7 linked regions of the Mus musculus genome follow. The protein of the gene in region 1 interacts with the protein of each later gene in a pairwise test. Links are inferred from orthologs where the notes say so. Each region holds a gene or a part of one and is shown in the gene's direction. Other genes may lie near its edges.

What was found.
Region 2: the proteins of Rad23a (region 1) and Mindy3 interact in binary tests that used the Homo sapiens proteins (3 or more experiments, as listed by UniProt). The two-hybrid records come from large-scale screens. The link is inferred for Mus musculus from reciprocal best matches to the Homo sapiens genes RAD23A and MINDY3.
Region 3: the proteins of Rad23a (region 1) and Sqstm1 interact in binary tests that used the Homo sapiens proteins (3 or more experiments, as listed by UniProt). The two-hybrid records come from large-scale screens. The link is inferred for Mus musculus from reciprocal best matches to the Homo sapiens genes RAD23A and SQSTM1.
Region 4: the proteins of Rad23a (region 1) and Usp25 interact in binary tests that used the Homo sapiens proteins (3 or more experiments, as listed by UniProt). The link is inferred for Mus musculus from reciprocal best matches to the Homo sapiens genes RAD23A and USP25.
Region 5: the proteins of Rad23a (region 1) and Trip6 interact in binary tests that used the Homo sapiens proteins (3 or more experiments, as listed by UniProt). The two-hybrid records come from large-scale screens. The link is inferred for Mus musculus from reciprocal best matches to the Homo sapiens genes RAD23A and TRIP6.
Region 6: the proteins of Rad23a (region 1) and Ngly1 interact in binary tests that used the Homo sapiens proteins (3 or more experiments, as listed by UniProt). The two-hybrid records come from large-scale screens. The link is inferred for Mus musculus from reciprocal best matches to the Homo sapiens genes RAD23A and NGLY1.
Region 7: the proteins of Rad23a (region 1) and Zbtb8a interact in binary tests that used the Homo sapiens proteins (3 or more experiments, as listed by UniProt). The two-hybrid records come from large-scale screens. The link is inferred for Mus musculus from reciprocal best matches to the Homo sapiens genes RAD23A and ZBTB8A.

What each region holds. Positions count from the first base shown.
Region 1 is NC_000074.6:84,834,259-84,837,881, reverse strand, and holds the end of Rad23a (UV excision repair protein RAD23 homolog A), read left to right. Parts: intron 1-114; coding exon 115-193; intron 194-288; coding exon 289-422; coding exon of another isoform or gene 423-503; exon of another isoform or gene 504-1,793; intron 1,794-1,962; coding exon 1,963-2,127; intron 2,128-2,207; coding exon 2,208-2,321; 3' UTR 2,322-2,955; downstream 2,956-3,623. Other genes in the region: Gadd45gip1 (growth arrest and DNA damage-inducible proteins-interacting protein 1), read right to left, coding at 3,456-3,623. UniProt on the Homo sapiens protein: Multiubiquitin chain receptor involved in modulation of proteasomal degradation. Binds to 'Lys-48'-linked polyubiquitin chains in a length-dependent manner and with a lower affinity to 'Lys-63'-linked polyubiquitin chains.
Region 2 is NC_000068.7:12,346,688-12,350,433, reverse strand, and holds the end of Mindy3 (ubiquitin carboxyl-terminal hydrolase MINDY-3), read left to right. Parts: intron 1-591; exon of another isoform or gene 592-727; intron 728-2,230; coding exon 2,231-2,380; 3' UTR 2,381-3,170; downstream 3,171-3,746. UniProt on the Homo sapiens protein: Hydrolase that can remove 'Lys-48'-linked conjugated ubiquitin from proteins.
Region 3 is NC_000077.6:50,204,245-50,208,141, reverse strand, and holds part of Sqstm1 (sequestosome-1), read left to right. Parts: intron 1-225; coding exon 226-321; intron 322-505; coding exon 506-735; intron 736-840; coding exon 841-982; intron 983-2,038; coding exon 2,039-2,119; intron 2,120-3,897. UniProt on the Homo sapiens protein: Molecular adapter required for selective macroautophagy (aggrephagy) by acting as a bridge between polyubiquitinated proteins and autophagosomes.
Region 4 is NC_000082.6:77,108,042-77,111,938, forward strand, and holds part of Usp25 (ubiquitin carboxyl-terminal hydrolase 25), read left to right. Parts: coding exon 1-22; intron 23-1,132; coding exon 1,133-1,211; intron 1,212-3,024; coding exon 3,025-3,104; intron 3,105-3,897. UniProt on the Homo sapiens protein: Deubiquitinating enzyme that hydrolyzes ubiquitin moieties conjugated to substrates and thus, functions in various biological processes including inflammation and immune response.
Region 5 is NC_000071.6:137,311,390-137,315,896, reverse strand, and holds the start of Trip6 (thyroid receptor-interacting protein 6), read left to right. Parts: upstream 1-1,655; 5' UTR 1,656-1,828; coding exon 1,829-1,937; intron 1,938-2,188; coding exon 2,189-2,316; intron 2,317-2,420; coding exon 2,421-2,546; intron 2,547-2,807; coding exon 2,808-3,191; intron 3,192-3,663; coding exon 3,664-3,757; intron 3,758-3,853; coding exon 3,854-4,023; intron 4,024-4,507. Other genes in the region: Slc12a9 (solute carrier family 12 member 9), read left to right, coding at 60-946. UniProt on the Homo sapiens protein: Relays signals from the cell surface to the nucleus to weaken adherens junction and promote actin cytoskeleton reorganization and cell invasiveness. Involved in lysophosphatidic acid-induced cell adhesion and migration.
Region 6 is NC_000080.6:16,248,094-16,252,473, forward strand, and holds the start of Ngly1 (peptide-N(4)-(N-acetyl-beta-glucosaminyl)asparagine amidase), read left to right. Parts: upstream 1-1,220; 5' UTR 1,221-1,273; coding exon 1,274-1,404; coding exon of another isoform or gene 1,405-1,406; exon of another isoform or gene 1,407-1,715; intron 1,716-4,380. UniProt on the Homo sapiens protein: Specifically deglycosylates the denatured form of N-linked glycoproteins in the cytoplasm and assists their proteasome-mediated degradation. Cleaves the beta-aspartyl-glucosamine (GlcNAc) of the glycan and the amide side chain of Asn, converting Asn to Asp.
Region 7 is NC_000070.6:129,375,128-129,379,471, reverse strand, and holds the start of Zbtb8a (zinc finger and BTB domain-containing protein 8A), read left to right. Parts: upstream 1-1,443; 5' UTR 1,444-1,732; intron 1,733-4,344. UniProt on the Homo sapiens protein: May be involved in transcriptional regulation.

The sequences.
Region 1 (3,623 bases):
CTGGACAGAGAACGTGGAGGGCAGGGATGAGACCTTCCTGTCCTGTCAGGCTGCTCACTTGGGAGAGGGGAAGGGGATCTGTTTGAAAGAACTAAAAAGCAGGATCCCTGACAGGGAATTCCAGGAAGCCCTGAGCCTGAACATGGTTCTGTCCAGGAAAGCCAGGCGCCTGAGCAGCCGGCCACAGAAGCAGGTGAGCAGGTTGGATGGTGTCCTCATGGGCATCTGCAGTCTGGATTCCGAAGCCCCTGCAGGGAGGGCTCTGACCACACTTCTTCCTGCCACCAGCAGGGGAGAACCCCCTGGAGTTCCTGCGGGACCAGCCTCAGTTCCAGAACATGCGGCAAGTGATTCAACAGAACCCAGCGCTCCTGCCTGCTCTGCTCCAGCAGCTGGGTCAGGAAAACCCTCAGCTCCTGCAGGTGCGGCCCAGGGTGAGGGAGCTGAGACAGCCACCTTCCCAGTTCCTTAGGGGATCACCCAGGGAGGTAGCTTTGCTCTGAGAAAGCAGAACTAGCAGAGGCCAAGCCCCTGCTCCCTGATGACTTCTAAGGTTACATTGTAACCTGACTCCTAGGGAGGTGTGGATGCTATGGGCATCCATCTGCTGAAGACATCAGAGGCTCAGAGCAGGCTGCCATATGTCTGGCTGGGTCCTGGACTCCAGCCACAGCATTCTTCTCAGTTCTTGCTCTGTCTGCAGCTCCTCTGTCCTGGCCTTCTTCCTGATCTGACCTTCACCTTGACCCTCTCTCTATGTGGTGACCTAAACCTGTGTCATTATACCAGGTCCCTTGGGACCCTCTCATCTGAGCTGTGAAAGGATTTCCTGGACCTCTGAGTTTTCAGACCATTCTTCTCTGTTTGAGCCTCTCACAACCTCCTGGGGACTCTCTCTGCTTCTACCCCAATATCAGCCATTTCTCCCACCCAGTGTCCTGGCATCCTCTTCTCGAGCCTTTTAATTCTACACAGGGCCCCCGATGAACTGTCCACCTAGAGGCTAGATTGCTGAAAAGGCCCTTTTTAATGTGAGAATTGTCAGATGTCTGAAGAAGCAAAGGGTGGCATCAGAACCTCTGGATTTCCAAGTAGAGTGTATTTAATAGGTACCGTGGCTGGTCATGGTAGTGTACACCATTAAGCCCGCACTTAGGAAGCTGAGACAGGAAGATCACTGAACTTGAAGCCAGCCCCTTCTAGTAGTGAGATCATCTCAAAACAGAGAAAACCTAAAGGTTGTGCAGCTTGAGTGCCTCACTAGTGGGCTGCTGCTCTTAGCAGCTGCAGGCCTGGGTTCCACGGTGGCTTTCCTCTGCCAGGGAGAACGTTCAGCTTCTCTGTGCTGTTCTTGCCACAGAGCTCTTCTGAGATTTGCCCAGTAGAGCCATCCCAGGACATTTTTACAGGCTGTGTGTTTTAGCCACACATGGCTCTACCACAGACAGTAGGCCCCTCCTACAAGGCCTTAGGGACTTACCTAGCACATCTGCAGTTAATTGGTTTGAACTTTGTTTTTGTTTTTTCCCCCTTTAAATCTCACTATGTAGGTTAGGCTGGCTTAAAACTCAGGTTGATTCTCCTGCTTCAGCCTCCCAAGTGCTGGGATTACAGGTATGAACCACTATGCCGAGTTTCGGCACATTTATTTAACTTTTTTATTTGTCTCACCATGGAGCTCTGACTACTTTGAAACTCTTCTGTAGACCAAGTTGGCCTAAAACTCAAATCCACCTGCCTCTGCCTCCCCAGTGCTGGGATTAAAGGCATCTGCCACTATTTCCATCTCCCCACCTTGGCACCATTTATTTCCACGGCTTATTTCCATGGCTGCATGGCTGTTTAGCCAGAGCATGCACCTTCAGAGTATTTGACAGTTTGGTATAATAAGCAAGGGGTATAACATGGGACTTGGGCATAGGTGATGAGGACTGTGAATTCTCACCCTTCTTCTTCTCACAGCAAATTAGCCGTCACCAGGAGCAGTTCATCCAGATGTTGAATGAGCCTCCCGGGGAGCTGGCGGACATCTCTGATGTAGAGGGGGAGGTTGGTGCCATAGGTGAGGAGGCCCCACAGATGAACTATATCCAGGTGACACCGCAGGAGAAGGAGGCTATAGAAAGGGTAAGAGGCCTGGCTGAAGAGCCATTCATGGTGGGTAGCCCAGTACCTCCCCCTTCTTACCATTGCCCATCTTCCCACAGCTGAAGGCACTGGGCTTCCCAGAGAGCCTGGTGATCCAGGCCTACTTCGCGTGTGAAAAAAATGAGAATTTGGCTGCCAACTTCCTCCTGAGTCAGAACTTTGATGATGAGTGATTCTGGGAGGCCAGGGCCTCCCCCCTTCCCTCCCTCCCCACTCCACAGACGTTTATAAGAGAAAGTATATATATATATATATAACATATATATATTCATGTTTAAGAGGAAGAATATCAAAAACCATTAAAAAAACAACAACAAAAAAAAACCCAGCCCAGCTTCCCACCCTCCTGAAGTGGCCCCCATTCCCATATCAGTCCGAGAAGACCTGGGCCAGACAGCTGTCCCCGTCCTCTTAACAGCCCAGCCTACTCAAAAGTTGTTGGCAAGACCATGAGGCGACAGATGGGCCCCTCTTGGCCTCTGTCCCAGCTCCCTGCAGCCAGATGGAGGGGCGCCTGCCTGCTTCCCCATCCCTGAAGCATCCCCAAGGACAACCCTCCTTCCTCCACCATGATGAGGGGAAGCTGGAGCCCTAAGCTTTGATCCTCTATTGGAGTGGCCCAGATCTTTCCATCTGGAGTAAGTCTATGTTAGAAGCCAAAGGCCTTCTCCCCAGTCTGGCCTTGGCCTCCAGCCTGGAAAAGGGGTTATCATCAGTTCTGAAGGCCAAGGCCACCCCTTCCCCAGGACAGAACCACATCTCTGATAAAGGTTTTGACGTGAATAAAGTTTTAAAAATGAGCCCTAATAATGGTTCATGCCTACTGGAGCTTCTCACAGCTGTTTGTGAGTCTGAGCTAGCCGGGGGCACAGGTGAAGTGGGCATGCTGAGAAACGGGGAGGAGCCTAGGAGCCTTACAGACGGGCCCCAGCATCTCCTCCCTCTGGAAACTTGGGCCCCTGCCTCAGCTCAACCCTAGAAGGACTGCTGCTCCTTCTATCATGCAGTCTGTTTGGCTGTACTCCCCCTGGTAATTGGCTAATTACTGGAGATTAATGTTGGTAAACAGAAGCCTCCTCCTCTCCTGCCATCTGCTCCTTCATTATTTGCCCATCCATTCCCCTTTCTCTCTCCCCAAAGCCCCAGTTCATGGCATGGCCTAGTGTCCAGGTGTGAACACAGCCAGGTGGAGGGATTCTCCCGCCCAGGTGTTGGGGAATGAGCCGGGCGACCCAGGAAGTCACAACTTGAGGGAGAATGTGTAGAATATGGGTTGTCAGCAGCTGGCTTTATTGGGAAGGGAGCTTTCAGGAGCTGGGTTCACCAGACACTGCTGAGTCCTGGGCTTCAGCAGAGGCCATAGCAGCAATTCGTGCCTCCTTCTTCTGTCGTTGTCTTTCTTCCTTTAGGCGCTTTCGTTGCTGCTTGTCTAGGTCCTGTAATAGTTCCTGGAAGCGAGCACTCCTTGGGTCCAC
Region 2 (3,746 bases), on another chromosome or scaffold:
GCCAGGAGAGGGCAGAGCTGGGACCGAGGCTGTCAAATGTTCCGAGCCTGTGGTTTTCCTCACTTTGCTCCGCTCCTCTCCTTTCTAAGTCTTGGACGAAGGCACATGGATGCCTGCGTCTGGCTGTACCAGCCTGCCTGTCTGAGCACTTCCCTCTTTTGAATGAAATGCCAGTTTTTGTGTTCTAGTGGCAAGTCTGTTGTGTTTACATTTATTCTGGAAAAAGCCACAGTCTTTTATTAGGAGTTAGGCCTTTTCAATTTGATCTCATGCTGTTTGGAGGATGGCAACAGAAACTACATCATAATGTAAATTACATACTTCACTAAAACCAAACTAAAAGGCTAAATTTTACTTTTATTTTCATAACAAAATATAAACCAAAACCTTTCATATTCCCAAAAATCATTTCCTGAGTTTATTGACATCTGTAATATTGTACAATCAGTAAGAGCCCCTGGGTGCTGTTTCTTATTGTGTATTAATGAATGCTCGCCTAGTTGTTGAAGTTTGCCTAGCTTCGTCATCACGAAATATTAATTCACTGCCACAATCCCTGCAAGGTAGTCAAATATTATCCATATTTTACAGATGAGGCCTCTGAGACAGGGAGATTAAGTGACTCACCCAGAGTCACACAGCAAGTCATTGACAGAGCAGGGATTGGAACTGAGTTCCTGATTCCCAATCCTGTCCTTGGTCTTCTTGGCCACGCTGCCTGTATATAGTAAGTCTTCAAATCATGCTTGTGACAAGCATCTGACATACTAACACAAGATCAGAAATTAAGATATATGGAAAATTAACATGACATACTATGTAACAACCATAAAAGCAACGCATGCATCTCATTTATACAAAAGTATAAGGTCCTGAAGTTATGCAGGGGCTAGAAACAGGCCTGAGTGCTCAGTCAAGTCCCACTCAAGATAGCAGGCTAAACAAAACAAACAAACAAACAAACCAAGAGGGGTCTGCTAGTCCAGGCTGCAGCCACCAGGCCAGGCAGCAGCCACTGTGGAAAGCACAGACTAGATCCCACTGCTTTGCAGAGGGGTTCCTGCTCTGATACAGTGAGCAACTGGGGAACCAGGCCCAGTCCTGACTTATATCCCTTTAGACAACTCTTTAGAAAGTAGCACTTTTGTTCTGAGGTTGAAAACTCTTGAGTTGTAATTTAAATATGAAATTGTATTTCACCGTAATGCCTTTGGACTTCCCTAAAAAAAGCCAAATTTTGTGACCTAGTAGTGTAGCATTCTTTGCCTAGGCAGCTGTGTTTTTAAGGGAACTCTTGCTGAAGGCTGATAAGCTTGTTTCTTTTGGCTCCTTGGTCGCATAGCTTATGGCTTTCATGTTAAAACAGAATTGCAATCATGTGTATCAGACACTGAGTGGGTAAAAATAGCTACACATACTCTGGAAAAGGGCAGTTCATAGCCACCCCTTTCAATTACATATTTAATATAAAATTAACATAACTTGAATTCTTGATAGTGAGTTAGGGTTCTACTGGTATGTCAAATAATTTCAAGTATTTTCTTTGAAAAAAAATAAGCAAAATAATGTTTTCTGGTATCTTCCCAACAAATTATATCAAATATGATTATTTCCACAGGTTAGTTTACTCTGTCATCCTTCCATGACTCTTGTGTCTGTCCTCACATCTTTGTGATTTTTTTTTCTTCCATGATTGTCATACAATGTAAAATACACTCAAGAACTGCATTTCAAAAACCATTCATTCCAGAGACAGCAGATTCCATTAGCATGCATGCACGTCATCTTTCAATCTGAAGTGCACAGAAGTGCAAGTCAGAGGGCATAGCAACTCTCTGTTGAGTAGCAGGAGCAACTGATTGCCTTGGTAGCCCAGCCAGAGGAAACACAGCATGCCATGTGGACAGCAGGGGAAGACATGCCCTGGTGTCTATCATTTGAAGAATGATTTGTCATCTAAAAGTGTATGCTTATGATTCACCTATTTTTTTTTTGTCTTGATCTGGAATTATCAGTTTTACCAGTTAACTAACAATTAAAATGTATGTTACCATCTCATTCACAAGTTTGTTTTGCAGTTGCTCTAGTTGGGTATAATTCCTACGAAAAGAGTTAGATGTGAAGCTCTACGTAACTTGCTTTTAGAAATGCACTTGCCTGTGACGTTGTCTGTAGCTACGGAGAACTGGCTACGAACATTAACTGACCTCCTGGCTTTTCCTCTCGGCAGGTAATGTATGTGGAAGGGACTGCAGTGGTTATGGGTTTTGAAGACCCCATGCTACAGACAGACGACACTCCTATTAAACGCTGTCTGCAAACCAAATGGCCATACATTGAGTTACTGTGGACCACAGACCGCTGTCCTTCGCTCAACTGAGTTGCCTGAGTATTTGTAAGGAAGATTGTCAAACCAGGTGTTGAAAGGGGGATTCATGACTGGCTACATAAAGCTAAACACTGGTATTGTTAATTAACTATAAATAACAATTAAAAACACATTTTTCAGTGTTTAAGATACGTTTAAATTATTTGTTCTAAAGCTTTATGTTAAAGGTTATCCTATTTTACTCCTTTCTGTGAAATTTACTAACAAAATTAAGCTTTAATTAAAGTTCATCGCTTCTGCAGTCAGGGAACTGGTTGTTACCAGATTATAAACACAATATTATAGCATTTTTATAAATGGAATCAGTCACAAAAACCTGCCTGGAATATCACTTCATTCATTTCATTTTACTGTATTATTTTAGCAGCCTCCATATCAAAATGCAGAAGTCAATTTTTGTTAATTTTGTTTTTCATCAGAAATACTAATAAATCACAAATTATAGACCCTGGCTATTTGGTAACTAATTTAACTATAGCATGTTTACCAAAAAAGAAAATAAAATAAAAATTTTTTTAAAAAGGCTACTATGTGGGAACTTCTATTTGTTCACAGGTGCACAGGAATGTGGTTTTTACAACGATAGGGGAAGAATCTGTTTGCTTTGTGGGCTTACTATTCTCACTTTCACTGTATTGCTAAGTACACTCTCCTGCAAGCCAGCTTTCTTGTATATTTATAAGTGTGGTAATGCATGAGAATCTCTACTGTTACATTAGCATATTGCATTATTTATTATGGCCCCAGCTAATACCGTAAATAAAGACTTTTCTTTAACTACACCCTTGCACTTTTACATTTGTGACTCAGTATCACCAAGTGCTCATAATGCTTTCTGCCGTCAACTCTACAAACAAAATGTTCCTCCTGGAAGTCTCACTGCTGCTGTGTGAAATGGTGCGGCATAATGCTTTGTATGAATTTTACGAAGTGTCACTCAACACTTAGAATGAGGACTAAGGATGTAACTCAGTAGGTAGGGTGCCTATCACACATGAAGCCCTGTGTTCAGTCTTCAGTACACTGTAAATTGGGCATGGTACTGCACCCCCGAAACTTAGCACTTCACAGTTGAAAGTAAAGATCAAGAAAGAGTTCAGGATGAGATCGAGGCCAGCCTCGGGGTACTTGAAACCCTGTCTTTGGAGAGAAACCCTGCAAAGTTCAGAGAGATAGCTTGCCTACTGCTCCATCTGAAGCTCAGCTGAGATGCCACAAAGCCATGGCTGGAAGCATCTCTAGAGGTGTTGATGCATTGACAGGCGTGACTGGGCCCTTAGCTCAGGCGCACTGCTGGAAGTGTCTGCAATTATTGTTTGTGTAGTCTCTATGTGTAAGTCACCAAAATGAAGGTATA
Region 3 (3,897 bases), on another chromosome or scaffold:
TGCCGTATCGGAATGAACGGCCATCTTGCTGCTTGGCTCAGCAGCCAGGTTGAGTGTAGAGCCTTAGTAGATGTCCCTTTACCACTGGGCTCTGTACACTGCAGCAGATGCTGGGTGCCTCTGCTGCATTTTAGCCTCTAGTTCTGGGAATGGAACCTAAGGCCTTTGCATGCTCCCGCCGAGCTGTGTCCCTGGCTCTGATGTGTCATTTCTTGAACAATCTAGATGAGGATGGGGACTTGGTTGCCTTTTCCAGTGATGAGGAGCTGACAATGGCTATGTCCTATGTGAAAGATGACATCTTCCGCATCTACATTAAAGGTAAAGGCTGAATCCGGGGCTTCCTTCCTGTGGGGCTTTCCTCGAAGGGTCAGGAGTCGGAGTTGTGATGCCTTGGGGTGGGTGTAGCGGGGCTGGGAGTTGTCAGAGGCACAGAGGTCCTGGCCTCCTAAGCGGTTGTCCTTAGCAACTAAGTTCTGGATGGACTCTTTGACTCTCCCTGCAGAGAAGAAGGAGTGCCGGCGGGAACATCGCCCACCATGTGCTCAGGAGGCACCCCGAAACATGGTGCACCCCAATGTGATCTGTGATGGTTGCAACGGGCCTGTGGTGGGAACTCGCTATAAGTGCAGTGTGTGCCCAGACTACGACCTGTGCAGCGTGTGCGAGGGGAAGGGCCTGCACAGGGAACACAGCAAGCTCATCTTTCCCAACCCCTTTGGCCACCTCTCTGATGTGAGCCGGGGCTCTGCCGTCCTGGGGCGTGGGGGGCATACAGGGTGGTGGGAGCTGGAAACCCTGACCCCTCACTCTCCTCCTGTCTTGCTTCCTCCTACCCAGAGCTTCTCTCATAGCCGCTGGCTTCGGAAGCTGAAACATGGACACTTTGGCTGGCCTGGCTGGGAGATGGGCCCACCGGGGAACTGGAGCCCACGTCCTCCTCGTGCAGGGGATGGCCGCCCTTGCCCTACAGCTGAGTCAGGTAAGACTGGTATTTGAACTAGCTTTTGGGTGTCTTAAGTAGCCAGCTAGTTCAGGTAGGCCCTTGGCCAAGCCATCCCCATAGCCTAAAGTCCAGAAGTACCCACACTGAGTTGCACATTACACATCCCTTTACCTTTTTTTTTTTGTCTTTTGGGGGAATGGAGGTTGAACCTAGGGTCTTACACATGACACATAGGGGTTCCTTTTTTGTGCTACACTCTATCCTTATCCATGGTATCAAACCCTCTTAACCCCGAAGAGACAAAGCATTTCTCTTTTACAAGTGGGTAAACAGGTGGCTGAACGCCTGAGCCCACTAATTTCCCTAAATGGCCCACCGTCCCCTGCCAGGCCGCCCTTGGGAGGCATGGGTAGGTGGCTGGATTTCTAGAATGTATTTTCTTTTGTTTTGGGTTAACTTGGGAATATCAGGGCCATAGGTGCTCAAATCTTTAAACAAAAAAACCCATGGTCCCAAAGCCAGGCGTGGCAGCACGTACACTGTAATCTCAGGCCTCGGCATGTAGAGGCTAGAGGACCAGAAAGTCAGAGCCAACTGTGGTATAAGATCCTGTCTCAAAATCCTGAAAGCAAAGAACTCACAAGTGGGTGGGCCCACACTCTAGATTTGGGGTTTCTGCCTTTTGATTTTTTTTTTCCCTCTTGAGTCTCTCTATGGCCCTGGGGAGCCTAGAACTCACTGTGTAGCCCAAGATGGCCTTAAACTTGAGATTCTCCTGCCTCAGCCTCTTGAGGCTTAGTTTATAGACATGTGCCAGCCCAGCCAGCCGGGCTCTGTGGATTTTGAGTAAACAGCACATCTAGGACAGGGTCAGTATTTATACATGGGCTGTACTGAGCCAGAGAGGCCCAACATGTGACCCACTAGGGGACCAAGCTTGCAGAGGGGAGGGGACAGGAGGAAGTACCAAGTATGGTCAGGCAATCCCAAGCCAGGAATTACCTCGATGATAGGAACCTTGGAACCCATGTGCTGGGACTGTGGTAGGTGGCAGTCACAGAATTTGAGGTCATCTTTCTTCTTGTAAAACAGCTTCTGCTCCACCAGAAGATCCCAATGTCAATTTCCTGAAGAATGTGGGGGAGAGTGTGGCAGCTGCCCTCAGCCCTCTAGGTGAGTGAGCTTTCTTGCCATCCTGTGAGATACCCTAGTGGCTTGGTGACTGTCTTAGTTTGGGTTTCTATTGCTGTGAAGAGACACCATGACCTCAGCAACTCTTATAAAGACAGCATTTCACTGGGGCTGGCTTACAGTTTGAGAGGTTTAATCCATTATTGTTATGACAGGAAGCATAGCAGCACAAGGCAGACATGGTGCTGGAGAGAGGGAGCTGAGAGTTCCACATCTGGTTTGAGATTCTGAGCCCTCAAAGCCCACCCTAGTGACTCACTTCCTCCAACAAAGCCATGCCTCCTGATAGTGCTACTCCCTATGGGTCTATGGGACCAATTTTATTCAGACTACCACAGTGGCTCAAAGTGCAAATAGTCTTTGGCAGCCTTTCCTGGCATGGTGCAGGGGCCAGGGCAGATATGTGTGCTCGACTCCAGCAAGGTTTTGTTGTGTAAAATTAGCCTTTGCTGCGGACTGGAATGGATGGGCGCCTGAAGGTTGAGCTCCTGGCTGACTTTGAGCCTTCTTCACAAAGCAGAAGGAACTAGTAGGGGAGATAGATTGGCAGATGGGCCAGCTGATCACAGCTTTGGGTAACAGCAGCCTGCTTTTTCTGAGCCAAGTGGGTTGTATTTGTTTAGACTTGAAAGCAGGCCGGTGATTTGTTCTTCTTTTCTTTAGACAAGGCTTCACTGTAGCCCAGGCTGACCTTGAACTTGTGTAATTCTCCCTTGGTCTACCAAGTGCTGGGATTTGTTTTCTCACAAGCCTCTCTGAGACGGAGAAGGTGCTAGAGTAGGGACAAGTGCTTTGGGTTCTGCCAGGCTCCATGCAAAGGACAGTGGCGGTCTGCTGAGGTGGTGGCCGGTGTCATCTCTATACTGTGATGCTAGGCACCGGCTGTTGGACACACTGGTGTGGTTTAGAAGGTGCTTGCCCACATCTGGTTACCCTGTTGGCAGTGTTAGTAGTTGGCCACAGGAACCTGTACAAAGGCTGTGTCAGTATCCAAAGGAATGCTGATGAAGCGTGTCCAAGCCCCACCAGTCTCCACTTCATCTTGTACCAGGTGTGACCACCGCTCGCTGCAGGCAAGGCCATCTCTGCTCATGCTGCCCCAGGGGCAGCTCTGAGGCAGTAGGGACATCCTGGCCTGGCAGTTAAGTTGAGCAGCTGAGGATGAGCCGTGCTGGAGCTCTGTGTTAGAGTGTTAAGACTGTGCGTTCAATTCCCAGCACCAACACCAAGCACAGACAGGGCAGTTCAGTTAGACCATGGCCTTAGCACTGGAGGAAGAGGCTCTTGAGAGACACAGCCAGCTGATGGCTTTCATCTCGGGCACTTGAAGCACCTGACCCTTTTGCTACATAAGCTAAGGCACCTGGAAGTGGGCATCAGAAATGAGCAAAGGAATAGGCGGCCCAGCATTTCAGCCTCACTGGCCTGACAACAGCTGAAGAATCCTTGCTGAGGGAAGGCCAAATGCCTAACAGAACACCAGCTCCTGGCAGCTGGGTTTTCTTGGTGCCTGCCTCTGGATGCTCTATATATGTGAAACTGACAGCGGTCCTGGTCATGCCAACAGAGTGTCTTGCTAGTGTCTTTAGGATCAGAAGCCATATATGACTATCTCAAAGGGTCATCTGGGGGCCAAATCCCATATGCGTTGTGGAGGGCCTGACTACTGAGTGTGCTTTCCAAGGAAAAGCCAAACCTGATGGGTGCCTGATAGCCATGAACCACAGAAAATGAAAAAGACTCTGGAAAGAATCAGGAGG
Region 4 (3,897 bases), on another chromosome or scaffold:
GAAATTTGAGTTTTGATGAAAGGTAACCTAAAATCCCAAAGCATCTACTTCATGTGTTCATACTTGTCTTATTCTGGTTTGGTTTGGATTTGCTAATCTCAAGTGTAAATCTTTTGTTTGCACAAAAACTATAACAAATATAGCACAAACCTACCTTCCATTAATTTGATTGTTTGCTTTTCCATTTCTCTTAAAGTTTCTATCTATGGCCTTTTAAAGTTTTACCTAAAAGTAATTTGGATAATTCAAATTATGAAAGAAAATGTGATTTTTCACCGTCTATACTGTGGAGATTTTAGGCTAAGTAATTTTATTGTCAGGCTTCCATGTGGCTTATCAGATACAGCAGCAACTCTAACCAATACTGAGAGAAGCCAGTCCCTTGGGTTAGAAAGACCCAAGCATCTCCCATATATTCCCAGTAGCCACTGGAAGCTGGAGGTGAGTTTGCTTCTCTGAGACAATCCATGAAGAAAGTCGAGTGTATACAGAAATTTTGACATAAAATAGTTAATTTTTTCACTTGCAACTATATTTTGTCAGAATCTGTTATAAAACTAATGTTATTTTTTTTCTTGTTAGTCTGAATATCATTTAAAAAAGACTCCAAGTATAGAATTTCAAGATACTAAATGTTACTTTTTTTTTTTTCTGAAACACTTTATAACCATGATTTGTCTTTTGGAACTCATTGTATAGACCAGGATACACTCAAACTCACAGAGATCTTAAATCTGATTTCTGAGTGCTGGAATTAAGGGTGTGCACCACTGTATCCAGCCCTTTTTTAAATCTTTAAAATTTTTGTTCATGTTTGTGTGCATTGTTGGGGGTTGGGAGTAAGACATGCTTGACATGGTATATGTGTGAAGTTATTTGTGTGTGTTGCTGGGGTGGTGAAGGGGGTGAGACATGCCTCCTGTGGTATATGTGTGAAGATCAGAGGACCACTCTAGGCACTTGTGAGAACTGCTGATTGACAGTGATCAGGCCACCAAACCTTTGCGTCATCCCACTGGCAATTGTGAAGATTTTGTTTTTATGTGTTTGGAAATTTAGTTTTATGCAACATGCTTTTATGGTTTTTATGGATTTTGTTTTTAATTTAGAAATGCCTTTCTTATATTTGAAGGTGTCACAACATAATGAAAGTTGCCCAAGCCAAACTGGAAATGATCAAACCTGAAGAAGTGAACTTGGAAGAATATGAGGTAGTGTGCTTTTGGGAAATACTGACCTCTAGTAGACACATTGCATACGTCATAATGGAGAATGGAACAAAATGTTTTAAATGGCTAAAGTGTTTTAAAGAAAACCTTTGGTTTTTATGTTTATAAGTGCTCTTGTATTTCATAAACCAGTTTTCAATTACTTCTATACATAGTTTTTCTCTTTAATAAGTGCAATTTACTGCATTAATGTTGAAATTGCAAATAAAGAGCCTGCTGAATGTTCTTCTAAGCACTGCGGGTGTATTGACTAATTTAATCCAGATATTATCCTCCAATTCCATGGGACAATGGCACAGAGAGGTCCTCTTACCTCCACACAATTACCCTGGGAAGCGTGCCTCTCTCTTCCCCACAGCCAACACACACACACACACACACACACACACACACACACACACACACACACACATAAATTTGTAAGAGAATGTTTAAAAACAGCCAGATGTGGTGGTACATGCTTTTTATTTATTATTTGTTTTATTATTACTGGTCTGTACATGAACACAGGAGGTATAGGGATAGGAGCTGAACGGGCTGAAGGTTTCACAGGTAGGAATTTACAGCTCTCTGACTGCACACAGAACCTACAAGTCTAACTGCCCTTCTGTCTATCCTGATTATTTGCTATGTTTTCTGCTTTCCCGTTGATCCATCCTACATGTTAGAAAGACATTAAACAGTCATTTTAGCCATCACGTGGCATCTGACATGGTGATCCTCAGACAGTGCTGTCTCTGAGTGTGTACATGCACACTTGTCTCATGGCTAATGAGATTTGTCTGGGTGTATAGACAAAATCCTTTGTTGACATTGGTTTGAAAATATATTTTAACTTACCAAATTTGAAATGTAGTGTCTATTTGTGCTTTTAAAATTAAGTTTGAAAAATTTACTTTTACGTATGTCTTTCATTAATCTTTGGTCTTATTTACAAACTTTTAACTTTGCTGCTTGGAGTTTCTAAGGGCAACTTCAGAATAGGTAACAGGATCTTGTAGGATTTTACCTTTTTATGGTTATCAACTCATAGTATCAAAATTATGACTTGCAAGAATTGAAATTGTGTGTTTGGGGAAGGGCGACGTAGAGAAGAATGCCCTCCTCTGCATTTGCCCGTCAGAACGGAGTCGGAGCAAGTTTACAAGGTTTGGTGGAACTATCTCTAGATAAACCTTATATTGAATTTTTTATTTTTTAACTAATTTTTATTAAGCATCCTTTAAAAAGCAGGGGCTCTTGCTGTTGCTGTGGCTTGTTGGCCCTGAGTGTCCCTGCCTACCATTGCTTGTGGGAGAGGGAGTCTTACTTTTCACCGTAGGTCAGCAGAGTGCTTGGCAACACGATTGAAATCCCCCATATTTCATAATAAATAAGTGAACTATGGCATTTTTTATTTCCTTAAAATTCTATATCAAGCAACAAGTTGGAGCTCTGGACAGAACTGCATCAATAGAATGTTCCTGTCTGGACTCTTCTAATATTAGTACATTTTATACTGAAGAATGTCTTCTGGGAAAAAAAAAAAACATTTGGTCATCCTGCCATTTCATTATTTTATGCCTTATATTCTTAACCTTCTAGTAATATTAATTTCTAACCCCTGACTAAATGCCTGATAAGTATTGTTACTACTATAATTATTATAATTATTATAATTAAACTAAAAAGTAGTGTGCTAAGTTATTTAAATTTTAAATTCATTTCTCTTTGTTTGCAAAACTATCAGAACAATACATTGTTTTATATTCTTACCATAGTTTTATTCTTTTCATTTTTACTATTTTATATACAGGAGTGGCATGCAGATTATAAGAAATTCCGAGAAACAACTATGTATCTCATAACTGGACTAGAAAACTTTCAGAGAGAAAGGTAAGGCAGAGAGGACGAATATGGGAAAAATGTTTGTTCTTATCATTAATGCTATTCAGTAATTCACATCTGATGCAAAATATCCATAGAATACACGTTAGGGAAAGTTTTAGCTCAAAACAACTTTAAATGATAGAATATTTCAAATTTAGTACAATGTTAAATATCCTCACTATAAAGTGTATTTTGTTTTTACTCTAAATCCAAAAGGTTGCCATTTGTGTTTTTGTTTTTCATTAGTTACTTTTTTGTTTCGTTAAAGTTTGATCAATAGTTTCCCACATGTACACATTGCATGTTCACAGTCATATTGACCCTTGACCCTCTCCCATCTCCCTCCCTGACCTCTGCAACTCTGCCCCACCAAGTTCCCACAAGCATTCATGTCTGCTCTTGTCTGGTTTTCTTTTTCTTTTTCTTTTTCTTTTTCTTTTTCTTTTTCTTTTTCTTTTTCTTTTTCTTTTTCTTTTTCTTTTTCTTTTTTTCCTTGCCCATTGAGTTGACCAGGGCTGAGTTAAAACATGGTTTATTGTGACCATGAGCTTGGATACGCCTTTTAGAGCCTAGTGGACTATAATGGAAAGTTTTGTATGAAACCCATCCATAAAATATGGGAACAAAGGGGCCCAGCATATGTAACTAGTTGCATTCCCTACAGTGAACCTGGGGCGTCACTGGTTACTATATTCTTCCTCATCTAAGCTTGACTTACATCAGAGGCCAGTCTTTGTCTTCATCTGAATCCCCAGGTACCATAAACAGAGCATCTGTGGTTGAAAGGTATTCAGTGATA
Region 5 (4,507 bases), on another chromosome or scaffold:
TGTAAACTCAGTCCTCAGTCTGATTTCTGTTCCTTCCTGCCTCCCTTCTCTGCTCCTAGGCGGCATGAAGCCCAACACATTGGTGCTGGGTTTTTACGACGATGCCCCACCCCAGGACCATTTTCTAACAGACCCAGCCTTCTCTGAACCTGCAGAGGGCACCAGAGAGGGCGGGTCGCCAGCCCTGAGCACGCTGTTCCCTCCACCTCGGGCTCCTGGGAGCCCCAGGGCTCTCAGTCCCCAAGACTACGTGGCCACGGTGGCAGATGCTCTCAAGATGAACAAGAATGTGGTTCTCGCACGAGCATGTGGGGCTTTGCCCCCGGAGCGGCTAAGCCGGGGGTCCAGTAGCAGCGCTCAGCTACATCATGTGGACGTGTGGCCCTTAAACCTGCTGAGGCCCCGGGGTGGACCTGGCTACGTGGACGTCTGTGGCCTTTTTCTGTTGCAGATGGCTACCATCTTAAGCATGGTGCCTGCCTGGCACAGTGCCCGGCTCCGGATCTTCCTGTGCTTGGGGCCCAGGGAGGCTCCTGGGGCAGCAGAGGGAAGGCTTCGGGCCCTGTTGAGTCAACTCAGGATCCGGGCAGAGGTGCAAGAGGTGGTGTGGGGTGAAGGGGCAGAGACTGGCGAGCCTGAGGAGGAGGAAGGGGACTTTGTGAATGGTGGTCGAGGAGACGAAGAGGCTGAGGCTCTAGCTTGCAGTGCCAATGCCCTGGTGCGAGCACAGCAGGGGCGAGGCACCGTAGGAGGCCCTGGGGGACCCGAAGGAAGGGATGGGGAGGAGGGACCCACCACAGCCCTTACCTTCCTGTACCTGCCTCGACCGCCTGCTGATCCTGCTCGCTACCCCAGATACCTGGCACTGCTGGAGACCCTGAGCCGTGATCTGGGTCCCACCCTTCTTATTCACGGGGTCACTCCGGTAACCTGCACTGATCTCTGATGCCTGTTCATACAGGGTTGGATAGAGCGGGCCCAGGCTCATTCTGAGCAATGGACGCCCCTCCCCCCGCCCCAAGTGGGCCCTGCCCTTTGGATGATGTGTTAAGGGGACCATGGTCTCCTTTGGGCGGGGGAACGGACATAGTACACTAATTCTAGGTGGCTGCCCCATTGTAGGGGAGGACATTGCGGCCCTGTCCCTGGTCTTCCTCCGCTTCCTTCACTGGTGCCTTGACCAGAGGGGCTGGCCTCTTCTGTGACTCTAGGCTACCTCAGTGTCCCCATCCTGGCCACAGACGCACCGCCTCCCTCTCCCCGACTTCCTTGGGTGGTGATGTTTGTGTTTTGTTTTATTTTTCTAACTACTGACCATAAATAAAAGACCGAAACACTATGGGCTGGTGGAGCACTGCTGGTGGGTAGGTGAGAGGCAGCCGGGTGGGAAGGGAGAGAACCGTGAGGGGGTGGAGACAGATGCGTTCAGAGCCTGGGCCGAGAGGCTGCCACGTGCAAGACTGGGGCAGGGATCCGAGAGAATTGCTGGGCCAGAGCCTCTCAGAGCGGCCTGCAGCCCACCCTGCAGCTTGGCTCCGGAGGAGGGCGGTCTTCTCTTAACAGGAGGGGGCCAGAGAGGGGAAGGATTGTAGAATAAGGCTTGGGGCCACGTGACCCTCCCCTGGAATGTGGTGACGTCAGGGGGCGTGGTCGTCTCCAAAATTGGGGAGGAAGGGAGGAAAAAAAGCCAGAAAAAGTTTCTTTGCGGGAGTCCCAAACGGGGCGTGGGACAGTAAGGGAGGGAAAGGGCCCAAGGCTCCGAGCTCCAGGCTCTGAGCTTGTGGGGACCCTGACCTCTGTCTGGAGTGGAGTAACCCTATTCCAGACCATGTCCGGGCCCACCTGGCTTCCCCCGAAGCAGCCAGAACCCTCCAGACTCCCTCAGGGGAGATCGCTGCCCAGAGGCGCCCTGGGCCCGCCAACGGCCCACGGAGCAAGTAAGTGTTCCTCTCTCACACACGCCGGAGTAGCAGAAGAGCCGCTGGCCACCTTCCTTCACCTTTTCTCCCTTGCCTGCCTGCTTCCTGCTGTCCCTTTCCCAAACCAGAGGCCCCAGCTCTTGTGCAACTTTCCCTGACTCTTGGTTGATTCCCAGACTCCCGGGAATGTGAAGAAGGAGAGCCACCCTTAGAAGGGCAGCTCTACCGAGGTACCCTTCTCCAGTCCCACCTCCTGTCTCTCCCTTTAGCACTCCAGCCTCACCCCAGGGTCAACTTTTGCCCCCTCCCGCCTGAACACTGTTATCAGCCTCCGGGGGTACCGGAAGATCGGGGGCCTACTTGGGTGGGATCCCATGGAACACCCCAGCGCCTGCAGGTGAGAAGTGGAGATGAGGGTAGGGTCTCTCAGGGTCAAGGTGAAAGAAGTCTAGGTCGGGGGTGTCATCAGCATTTGTTCTTCCTCCTTTCCCTCTGTCTCAGGGGCTCCCTCCAGACAGGGGGATCATCCGCCCTGGCAGTCTGGATGCTGAGATAGATTCGCTCACCAGCATGTTGGCTGATCTGGACGGGGGTCGCAGTCATGCACCTAGGCGGCCAGACAGACAGGTGACTTCCTGTGTTCTGTCTCTGCTTCCCCATCCTCAGCCAGTTCCCTGCCCTAGCTTCTCAGCCTCAGTCCACCCTCTTCACTGCCCACCTACCCTCTTTGCAACTAATAAACACCTGGTTCAAGGAATCACGCACTTCCTCCTTGGCAGGCCTAGGCCATGGGAACTTGTCAGAAGTCATTGCTACCCTGGGGTTCCCACCTGGCACGCATGGATCTTGGGTCTGGCTTTACTGTTTCTGCATTGCTTGTCTTCCCAGGCTTTTGAGGCTCCCCCACCCCATGCTTACCGCGGAGGCTCCCTGAAGCCCAGTGGAGGTGCTGTTCCAACCCCGATGCTCCCAGCATCCCACTATGGTGGACCTACCCCAGCCTCCTATGCTACCGCGAGCACGCCAGCTGGCCCTGCTTTCCCTGTACAAGTGAAGGTGGCTCAACCTGTGAGAGGCTGTGGACTGCCCAGGCGAGGGGCCTCTCAGGCCTCTGGGCCTCTTCCAGGCCCCCACTTTCCTCTGACAGGTCGTGGTGAAGTCTGGGGGGCTGGCTATAGGAGCCACCGAGAGCCAGGACCGGGGGTTCCGGAGGGACCTTCTGGAGTACATATCCCTGCAGGAGGAGGGAGAGGAGGTGGGCATGAGCCTCAGGTAAGCTGGGGCTGGGCACTGTGGTTTGTGGTCACCGGAAGTAACTGGGCATTGATTAGGTGGCGTGGAGGCCGAGGAGTACTTAAGATACTGTTTTTAGGAGATGTTGGTAGAGTGCTTGCTTAGTATGCAGGAATCCCAAGGTTCTAGACCCAGCACTGTATAAACCAAGTGCGGGGGAGGTAGAGGCAGGAGAATCAGTAAATTAAGGTCATATTTGACGCACATAATGGGTTCCAGGCCAGCCTAGGCTATATGAGACACTGTCTCAAATATAAATAAGTGCATAAGTCAATCCCAGTTTTAAGGTACTCAGAGGTCAAGGATCAAGATGTCCAAAGGGAAGGGGCTTCCTTTCCCCCTATCAGCTTCTGAGAGATGTCCTCTGAGATTTTGGGGTTCCTGACTGTATGAGTTATTTATGGTGTCTGAGACTATAGGCAGCGCCTCAAAGCCCCAATTCTCACTCTAGGGCCCCTTAGGCCAACCTCCTGAAGAGGAACTGGAGAGACTGACCAAGAAACTGGTGCATGACATGAGCCACCCTCCCAGTGGGGAGTACTTTGGTGAGCTGACTGCTGGATAGGGTGGAGACAGGGAGGAGACAGAGGATCTGCTGTTGTGGGTCTGTGGAGGCTGATCTCGTTCCTCTCTGTCCTCAGGTCGGTGTGGTGGCTGTGGCGAAGATGTGGTGGGCGATGGAGCTGGGGTTGTGGCCCTGGACCGTGTCTTCCATATTGGTTGCTTTGTGTGTTCTACCTGTCGGGCCCAGCTCCGGGGCCAGCACTTCTATGCTGTGGAGAGGCGGGCATATTGTGAGAGCTGCTATGTGGTGAGCGGCTGGGCTGTGACAGAGGGATGCTAAATGAAGCATCAAGTCAGACAGGCAGGTTCCTGTCTAAGAGAGGGCCAGATACTCAGTCGGGTGGGACTGGAAGTCGGGTGAGGTATAAGAAGGAAGAAGCTAAATGTGGTGAGTTGGGCCTATCTGGAGGAGAGCCTGAGCTGCAGAGCAAGTCTGAAGGCAGCCCAAGGCGCAGGTTTCCCAAGATCAATTGGTCCATCACCCAAAGGAACATCTTGGGTTTTGTTTCTTTGATTACTTGTTTGCTGTTTTGAGATAATACGTCTCATGTCCCAGGCTGGCCTGAGACTCTTATGTGTAGCTAAGGAAGACCTTGAATTTCCTCCTTCTATCCATGAGATACGGGGATTCTGGGTGTGGGCCACCAGACCTGTTCTTTGTGGTGCTAGGAATGGAACCCAGGGCTTCGTGCATGCTGGACAAACACTTTACCAACTGAGCTATGGCCCCA
Region 6 (4,380 bases), on another chromosome or scaffold:
ACCTAAGTGCTAAAAATGTAGGTATATTTTACAGATGAATATTCAGAAGTTCTTGAAAATTCTCCGAAGAAATTGCCCAGAAACATTAAAAAACAACAGATAATAAAGTGTCAAACGAGGTCACATAAGTAAATATCTTTAAAACACAAAGCCAACAAGTACCTGCTACGTGCTAGTGATTCATATATGTAATTCCAGCTATTCAAGGTGAGTGGAGCATGGAAAACTCCTGACTACAAATCAAGGTCAAGTGCACTCTTAGTGGCATTTCAACATTAAAAAGTAATAAAAAAAAGCCAGGTAGTGGTAGACAAGCCTTTAATTCCAGTACTCAGGAGGCAGTGATCAGGTGGATCTGAGTTCAAGCTGATCTATAGCTGGAGTTCCACTTTACCCAGAACTATGCAGAGAAACCCTCTTCTGAAGAAGAAAAAGAAGTAATGAGGACTGAGTATGAAGCTCAGTGCTGGAGCCAATTTCCAGGGTTGATGTCAGTGACAAGGGCATCAGCTAAGGAGGTTAGTGATTCCCTTTCTAAGATAAATTAAGGATACTGGTAAGGGATATGCCAGTATGAGTCAAAGGATACAATGTGTATATAAACTTTATTTACTTGTTTGTTCCTCATTTTATTCTATTATTGTATATGGGTTTTATGCGAGTATCCATAGGACACTCCCAAAATGCTCCTTGCATCAGAATCATACCTTGTGAGCAACAACTGAGTTTTCATCAACAGAATTCGGAAAATACACAAATCAGAAACCCAGAAGAGTTCTGAGCTATGCTCTGTTTTTGAAGCCGGACACTAGTAACCAAAGGGCAAGACTGCAGTAAATTCCCGTGTGAGCCCAGCCTAGGCCACAGACCATGATCACTTTCCCTTCCCCATAACCGCCCCCACCCCACCCCACCCCCCAAAAAAAAGACATAACAAAAACTTGCTCGGTCTTCTGGAGTCTTTTCTTCCACAAAAGACTTTTATCTACCGTAAAAAGAAGGCTGTGCAATTATCTCTGGGACCCTACCCGACACAAGCAGCCACCACAGCTCGAGATCTACTCCACTGGCTCGGCCCCTTGTACCCCGTACCCCAACGTTCGCAACCGGCCTCTCCGCGGCTCGCCCCGCCCCTAGCCCCTCCCGGAACGCCCCGCCCCTCGGCTCCTCGCCCCGCCCTCTGGCCGCAGGCCTCTGCGGCGGCCTAGGCGCTCCTCAGCGCCTGCTCAGTGCGGGCCGCGGTGCGCGAGGTGGCGAAGGCCGCGGCGCAGCCATGGCGTCGGCCACACTGGGCAGCTCGTCGAGCTCTGCGTCCCCGGCCGTGGCCGAGCTATGCCAGAACACCCCGGAGACCTTTCTGGAGGCCTCCAAGCTGCTGCTCACCTACGCCGACAACATCCTGAGGTGCAGCCGGGGCCCTCGAGCCTGAGGGCCGCAGGCGGGCGGGGCCGCGGACACTCGGGCCTGAGGCGGGGCGGGCTGGGCGACGAGGGCCCGCCGAGGCTGTCACTGAGTTTGACAGCTGTGCTGTCCCATCTCGCTGCAGGATCCCGGCGCTGTGGCTCAGCCCGAGTGCCAGTTAAACGTTCACGCCGAGTTTGGCGGTTGACACATTTATAGTTTAAGTTACGAACTTTGTGTCAAGTCACCTTTGTACTGAGTGCAGCACTTTCCACAACTGGCTGGGAGTTTGAGTCAGCACCTCCCATGGCCGCTCCGGTCAAAGAGTGTGGGGAAGGGATGCGGAGGGGCAGACAGTGGAGGTCACTTCAGTTGAGCCCCTGGGCGCTGGCTCTTACAAACACACCGACCCGAAGTCTGTAGGAATTCTTAGTTTAAAGGCTGTACAGTTCATGCGGACCAGCTTTAGAGAGTTAGTTGTTAGAGACATTGAGGTGTTGTCCTGTACCCCAAACTGGCATGGAACTTGATCTGTACCCCAGAACTCATGCCAGTCACGACCTACCAAAAGCTGAGATTACAGGTGTGTGCCACCACAACCATAATTCTTCATTTAGGTGACATTAGTGATATTTAAAATATATTTGAAAAGGGAATATAATGTGATTCTATGCCAGATGTTATGCAGCATTTGGGCTTGCACATAATTGTGACTTGTGTGAAGATGGCCTTCCTCCTTTATGACACCTCAGCTTAACCCTGAGATCTCACAGCACCTCAGAGTACAAGGTGTCTGAAAGAACTCATAAGCTTGATTCTCCAGAGCCCACAGCTGGCGTTTCATACTGAATTGTTTAAGTCTTCAACCTCCCACCCCCATACATAAGAGAAGGATGGATTTGTAAAGACATTTCGATTCTGTTAGTACAATGAAACCAAAGATGCTAAGATCAGAGTACTTTGAAAGATAGCTTTGCATGCAGACAGTTATTTCGGATCATGACCATCATTATGAATATTTACTAAATTTCTTAAAGAAACTGGTTCATTTTACAGCCTTTACTGTGGCTTACATTTCTGATCTTGGAGTTTTTGTTTTATAAAGGAAATTAGAGCAGTTTGTAAGAGAAATGATTCAGGTTGATGTGAGAAAATGCTCCTTTAGTTTGTTTTCAACAAGTGTCCTTGTGTTCTTAGAATTCAAGGTCTGGCTTGGTTGGGAGATGATATCCTGCTTCTTCATGTCCAAATCCAGTGACTTCTTAACTCTTAAGGAAAAGCTCCATGTCTTCCTGGTCCCTGACCGCACATTATAATTATACTTCTGTAATTTGGTAGAGAAAATCAGGTTCCTCTTTGCATTGCTATTTTCTTTTAAACCCACTAGTGCCATAGTGGAGGCACTATTGAAGGCATATTGTCCCAGCATCTCATTTGCCTCAGTATCAGAACAATTTATAGAATGGATATGCAAATAAAAATGCATTAGCTTGTTTTGAAGTAGATACTTGTCACTGAAATCTACAATGAAATAATACTCTTAAATTTCTGCTTGAATATTTATCATATCCTAACAGTAATAAATCTAAATAAGCTCCAAAAGAAATGTGTGCTAATTTGTATGCAAAAGCTGCCACCCATTTTAGATAAGATGAGCTTACTATGGACTTTATCAAGAGCAAAACAAAGCAACTCTGTATTAGTTTTCCTGACATCACAGGTGAGCTGCTTAGCTAATTTGATTCATGAACCAGAGTTTGGTTTAGAACTTTTCATGTACCTAAGAATAATGTTGAACTTCTTATCCTCCTACCTACACCTCTAAGTTACAGGTGTGGGCTACCACAATTGCTGTTATGAGCTGCCACAGATTGAGCCAGGGCTCAATGAATGGGAGGCAAGCACTCTACCATCTAAATGGATCCCCTGTCCCTAGTTCATTTATTCTTTAATATAAATATTTGATATTGTACTGTTTTGTTTACAAAGCACACATAGTGTTTGACTATTAACTGTACTGAGTGAAGAACCAAGAATCAAACATAGTTTCTTTGTTCAAATAATATAAATGTATTTGGGAGAAGAAAGGTTTGAAAAACAGCTACAGTGTAACATCAAAGAACAATTCCAAGACAGTGTTAATGTCTCTGTCTTTATATTTTTATGTTAGGAGGTAGTAGGGAGACCAAACATGAGACATTTAGTGAAGGGATAGGCAAAGGTGACTCACAGTTTCTACAGTGGAGTTTCCGGGAGGAAACCATTAGAAGAAACAGGCATTGATTATGAAGTCACTGCATAATCATAACAATAAACCCAATGGAATGGAGAAAGAGAATTTTCAATGACAATGCAAGAAGTAATAGAAGACAAAAAACTTCTAATTTTTAATGTAGGTTGCCACTGACACGTAGAGAAATTGAGTGTAATTGAAAGTTGGTGAGTCTGCTGGCAGCTTGTGTGGTGGTATATGTATAAACATTTTAACCAGAGCAGTAAGTTTCAATTTTAGTCAACTATTTTAAGTGTCATTATAGGCAATTTACATATAATTTCCAAGTTTAAGTTTACCTTATAAAAGGAAGAAAAATACTCTATTCTAGGACTACCCAACATAAATGACCTGGCACATATATCGCAACTACTGAGGTGGTTGCTATTATTATTATTTCTATTAAATTAGGTGAAAAGTTTGGTGGAGTGTTTGACTGTTTGTTCTTTGAAATTTCATGTCTGTAGCCCATTGTTTATTCTTCATCTCTTTCCCTGTCACCATCCCCTCTAGTGTACAAATTCCTCCCACATGCAATTATTTTTGTAATGTTTTGTCTTGTGCCCTACAGTGGGGGTTTTGTGGTTTTTTTGGTGTTTGAGAATTGTTTTTTGTTATTGAAACAGTTCCGTCGTTTGGCATATTGGGATTATAGGTATACACTACTGTACCTTGATAAGTAGTCAGTGTTTGCTCAAAAGAAAAGT
Region 7 (4,344 bases), on another chromosome or scaffold:
ACACACTAGAAGAGGGCGTCAGATCTCATTATGGATGGTTGTGAGCCACCATGTGGTTGCTGGGATTCGAACTCGGGACCTTTGGAAGAGCAGTCAGTGCTCTTAACCGCTGAGCCATCTCACCAGCCCTGTCCTAGTGATTTTCAAATAAGCACTGGTCTACCTTTCCTTCCATTATCTCCCATTACCTCAAAAGTCCAGGAAACGAATCTTAATCACAGAGCACCCCTGGGGTAAACAGGTGTGACATTAAGAAACTGTTAGGTGTCAAACCTGGGACAAATAGCTGGGGTGCCTAGTTAACATGTCAAAGCTGACCTGGCCACCAGGTTCTCCCAGCATCCCTCAGTCCAATACCTGTTACAGGGTCCTCTAGGCTGGCATATCCGGCCCCCTAGCTTGAATCCTCCAGTCCAGGGGGCTGAGCTATTCTTCCCTATATAATCCAACCATTTTGGCTCCCTACCCTCTTTGTAATTTGGGTCTCCTGCTGTACTTGGTTCTGCTGCTCTCTCTCCTCCCTCCCCCACCCCACATCACAGGGCACAGCTCAGTTCACTCTGTACTCTCCCAGATGTTCCTGCCTCTGGCTGTGCTCTCCCACATATCTATAATAAACTTTCTCCTCCACTATACCTAGGACCAGGCATGTCCCTTTCCTTTTTATTTCTCCTTTTTTTTTTTTTTTCATTCAGAAATGACTGTATTGTATTCTCAGAGAGAATGATGTTCGAATACATAGTTACTTAGTGAGGAGATCGGAGAAATAGGACCCTGATGGGCTTGACTGAGGCTTGGGAGAGGAACGCCTCAAAATATTAAACGCATGCTTTGAGACTTTGAATCTTCTCCCCCATTCCGCATTACTTGACAATCAGCGTGAAGAAGTAGAAAACTAATTTAGTTTGTGGAATTTAAGCAGTATGAAAATTCAGCGGTTTACTATTTTAGGAAATGTATCACCTGATATTTGTGTGCCATAAATATTAGGGTCACGTCAGAAGAGAAACTTGATTTTACGACCAATTTTTATATTTGAAAACACGAAACACTGTTTTGTACTAGTTTTATATAAAGAATCACGGCCTCTTAATCTCAGCCCCTCCGGGCTTGCCTCTTCAAAGGGCTTGATGGGGACCTACAGAGGTTTCTAAAAGGCTATAACTGAAATTAAGTGCTTCGTCAAAGGGCGATTTTGTGGAACTCTCTCCCATTTTACGTCGCTAAACTTAAGTACAATAATGTCACATGTATACAGTATTTGTGGGCACGCCTAAGTCCCTCCCTCTCTCCTTGAACCAATATCTCCACATATTAGAAATCCAGCCCTTCTGCCCTCCGGAGGCGCCTTTCCCAACGTAAAGTACAATTTTAAAATTTAAGCTCCCGACTAAAAGAATGATCCCCAATCAACTGCTGGGGAACCTGGGCGCCCTAGTGCCTGCGGAGGGTGCAGTCGGGCGTGGGCACGGACAGGGGGAGTGGGCGAAGCTGCTGGTTGGTGCCTGAAATCTGTGCGTTGCCCCTTTAATTGTGTCCTCAGCCCTCGGGCGTTTCTGTCCAACGCCCACGTCAGCAAATACCTTTTGTTTCTCCCACGTTGGGGCTACTTGTTTTAGGGCGCAAAGCCTCGGCTTCGGAAAGGGGCTGCTTCCCCTACCCGGAACCGGGAATCGCTCCGCAGCGCGCGCGCGCGCGAGCGAGCGAGCGAGCGAGCGGCTAGAGCCCCGCGGTAAGTGGCTGCACGGGCGCGGGCGGGAGGAGGGCGGCCCGGGCGTCGGGGCTGCGGGCCGGGCCCAGAGCCTGGCGGAGGGCGGCGGAGCCGCCGGGGTGCGCCCCGGGACTGCAACCCCAGCCGGTGCGCCGGGCGACGCAGGGGGCACCCGGCGCCATTTGCAGCCGGGGGCGCAGAGCGGCGGCTCCGAGGGTCGGCGACGGCCACAAAGGAGACGCGGGCGGCGGCGGCGGCCCCGGGCGCGGCTGCGGGACAATGGCTGCACCGTCGCCGCCCGCGCCCGCCCCGCCGCCAGCCTTGGCCCGGCCCGGGGAAAGGCGGGAAGGCGCCCGAGCCTCCTGACGGCCGCGGCGGCGAGGCGGCGCCACGGGGCCGGGCGTGTCTGCAGACGTCGGGCGCGGGGCGCGGGGCGCTGCAGCCCGGCGGTCTCACTCCGCCCTCCACTCTCTGGTTTTCCATCACGACGCGACAGTTCTGGGCTTAGAACCGAGGGCAGAAATATGGAGCCCCAGCTGGCCCCGCGGCAGAATGTCCCTGGCATCTCCCACCTGGAGACACTGTCGGCTTTAGTCCCTTCGCGCTCTGGCGCGCTTACTCGCCCTTGACCGTGCGGTTATTCGTAATCCACGTCTTTGCGAGACGTGTTTGGAATAGGATTCACACCTAGCGGGCACCCAACCACACACGCCGCCAACACCTAGAAGTCTTTCTATTTGCAGAACTTTAGTAAATGGAGTGGTTTCACTTTGACGAAATATTGCACTTAATTTCTTATGAGACGGCTACGGGTTCCGGCTGTTTATTCTACCTAGCAAAGGGGAAAGGGGGAAAAATAAAACGCTAATGGTTAGGGAGTCTCATCCCTAGGCAGGGAGCTGAGACGTGGCAGCCCCCCAAGGCGCCCTGTTCTTGCAGCGTCCCGGAACAGTCTCCAAAGTACCAAAACCTTCGCTGATTTTATCACTTAAATCGCACTTTTATTTACCTATTTATTCTTTGTTTTAAAGCGGACTCAGGCTAGACTTGAAAATTTGATCTTACCTCCACCTCGGGAGGGCTGGGATGCACTAGGCAAATTTTTGGCACAATTATATACTTTTTAATATTCAAAGACGTTAATATAAGTTTTAAAACTCCTCTTTTAAAAAGCTATTTTATATATCTTTTTTTTGAAGGCACTGTTTCATGTACCCCAGGCTAGCCCTAAATCTTGGACCTCTGATTCTCTTGCAGCCCCTACCAAATGCTGGGATTACAGGCATAGATCACCACACCTGATATTATCCTGTACTTGAATTGAACCCATGCATGTCACATAGGCACTCTACCACTAAACCCAGCCCTCTCCAAACCTTAAATGGCTCCTTCACATCCTACTAAAAAAATAAAAAAATCCAAAACCCCCATGGTGTGTGTGTGTGTGTGTGTGTGGTGTGTGTGGTGTGTGTGCGTGTGGCGTGTGTGTGTGTGTGTGTGTGTGTGTGTGTGTGTGTGTGTGTGTATTTTGAACCCGGGCCTTGCATGGGCTAGGTAAATGTTACCATTGAGATACATCCCCAGGCCCCTTATTTTAAATTTTAATTTTATTATGAGATGAGGGTTTTCTCAGGGTTGCCTTGGTCTTACTTCTTCCTGCCCCGCCTCCCAAGACCCTGGGGTTAGCCGACATTACTGGCACACCACAGTGACCTCCTCTCCCCACCCATCCCTCCTCCATCTGTTCCTGTCCACCTCACGGCCTTTGCACCTGCTGTTTGGTTTGCCTGGAGTAGTTTCAAAGATACACATTCTTTCCTGCTATGGACACCAATCACTCAGATGTCATCTTCTCGGTGAGGCCTTTCCAAGTATAGTTTCAAAACTCGAGTCTCTCTCTATTTTTTTTTTTTTTTAGATTTATATATATATGTGTGTGTGTGTGTGTGTTGCCTGCCTTTGTGCCAGTATACCAAGTGCTTGCCTGGTGCCAGATGAGGGTGTTGAATCCCCTTACATGGATGTTAGAGATGGCTGTGAACCTCCATGTGGGTGCTGGGGATTGAACCCAGATCCTTGGAGAAACAGCCAGTGCTTTTAACTGCTGAGCCATCTACCCAGTCCCTCTTAAGTGTTCTAACATTTCATTCTAAGACTTTCCTATCTTAGACCCTGTAGACCATATGTGCTACTAAGATTACCGAAGGTCAGGTCACATAGAAGGAACAGATATTACTGGGCCGTGGCGTTGCATACCTTTAATCCCAGCAGAAGCAGGCAGATCTCTCTGTTTTGGAAGCCAGCCTGGTCAACAGATCAAGTTCCGGGCCAACCAGGGCTACATACACAGGGAATCCCTGTCTAGAAGAAAACAACAGAACAGATATTTACTTCTTGCACTGGTAGATGCTGGGAAGCACAAGATTATGGTGCCCTGTGTGGCTTCTTTCTGCTTCCCGGAAGGCACCTCTTCGTGGCATACATAATGAGGGTAAATACAGTGCTGTGCCTTCATTAGTAAAATGGGTAGAAGGGATGAGGTGGAGAGCAGACCTACTCCTCCAAATCTCTTTATTAGGATGCTAATCCCGTCCCCGAGGGCAGCACCCCTCCCCCCAGGGTGGCCTAATCAC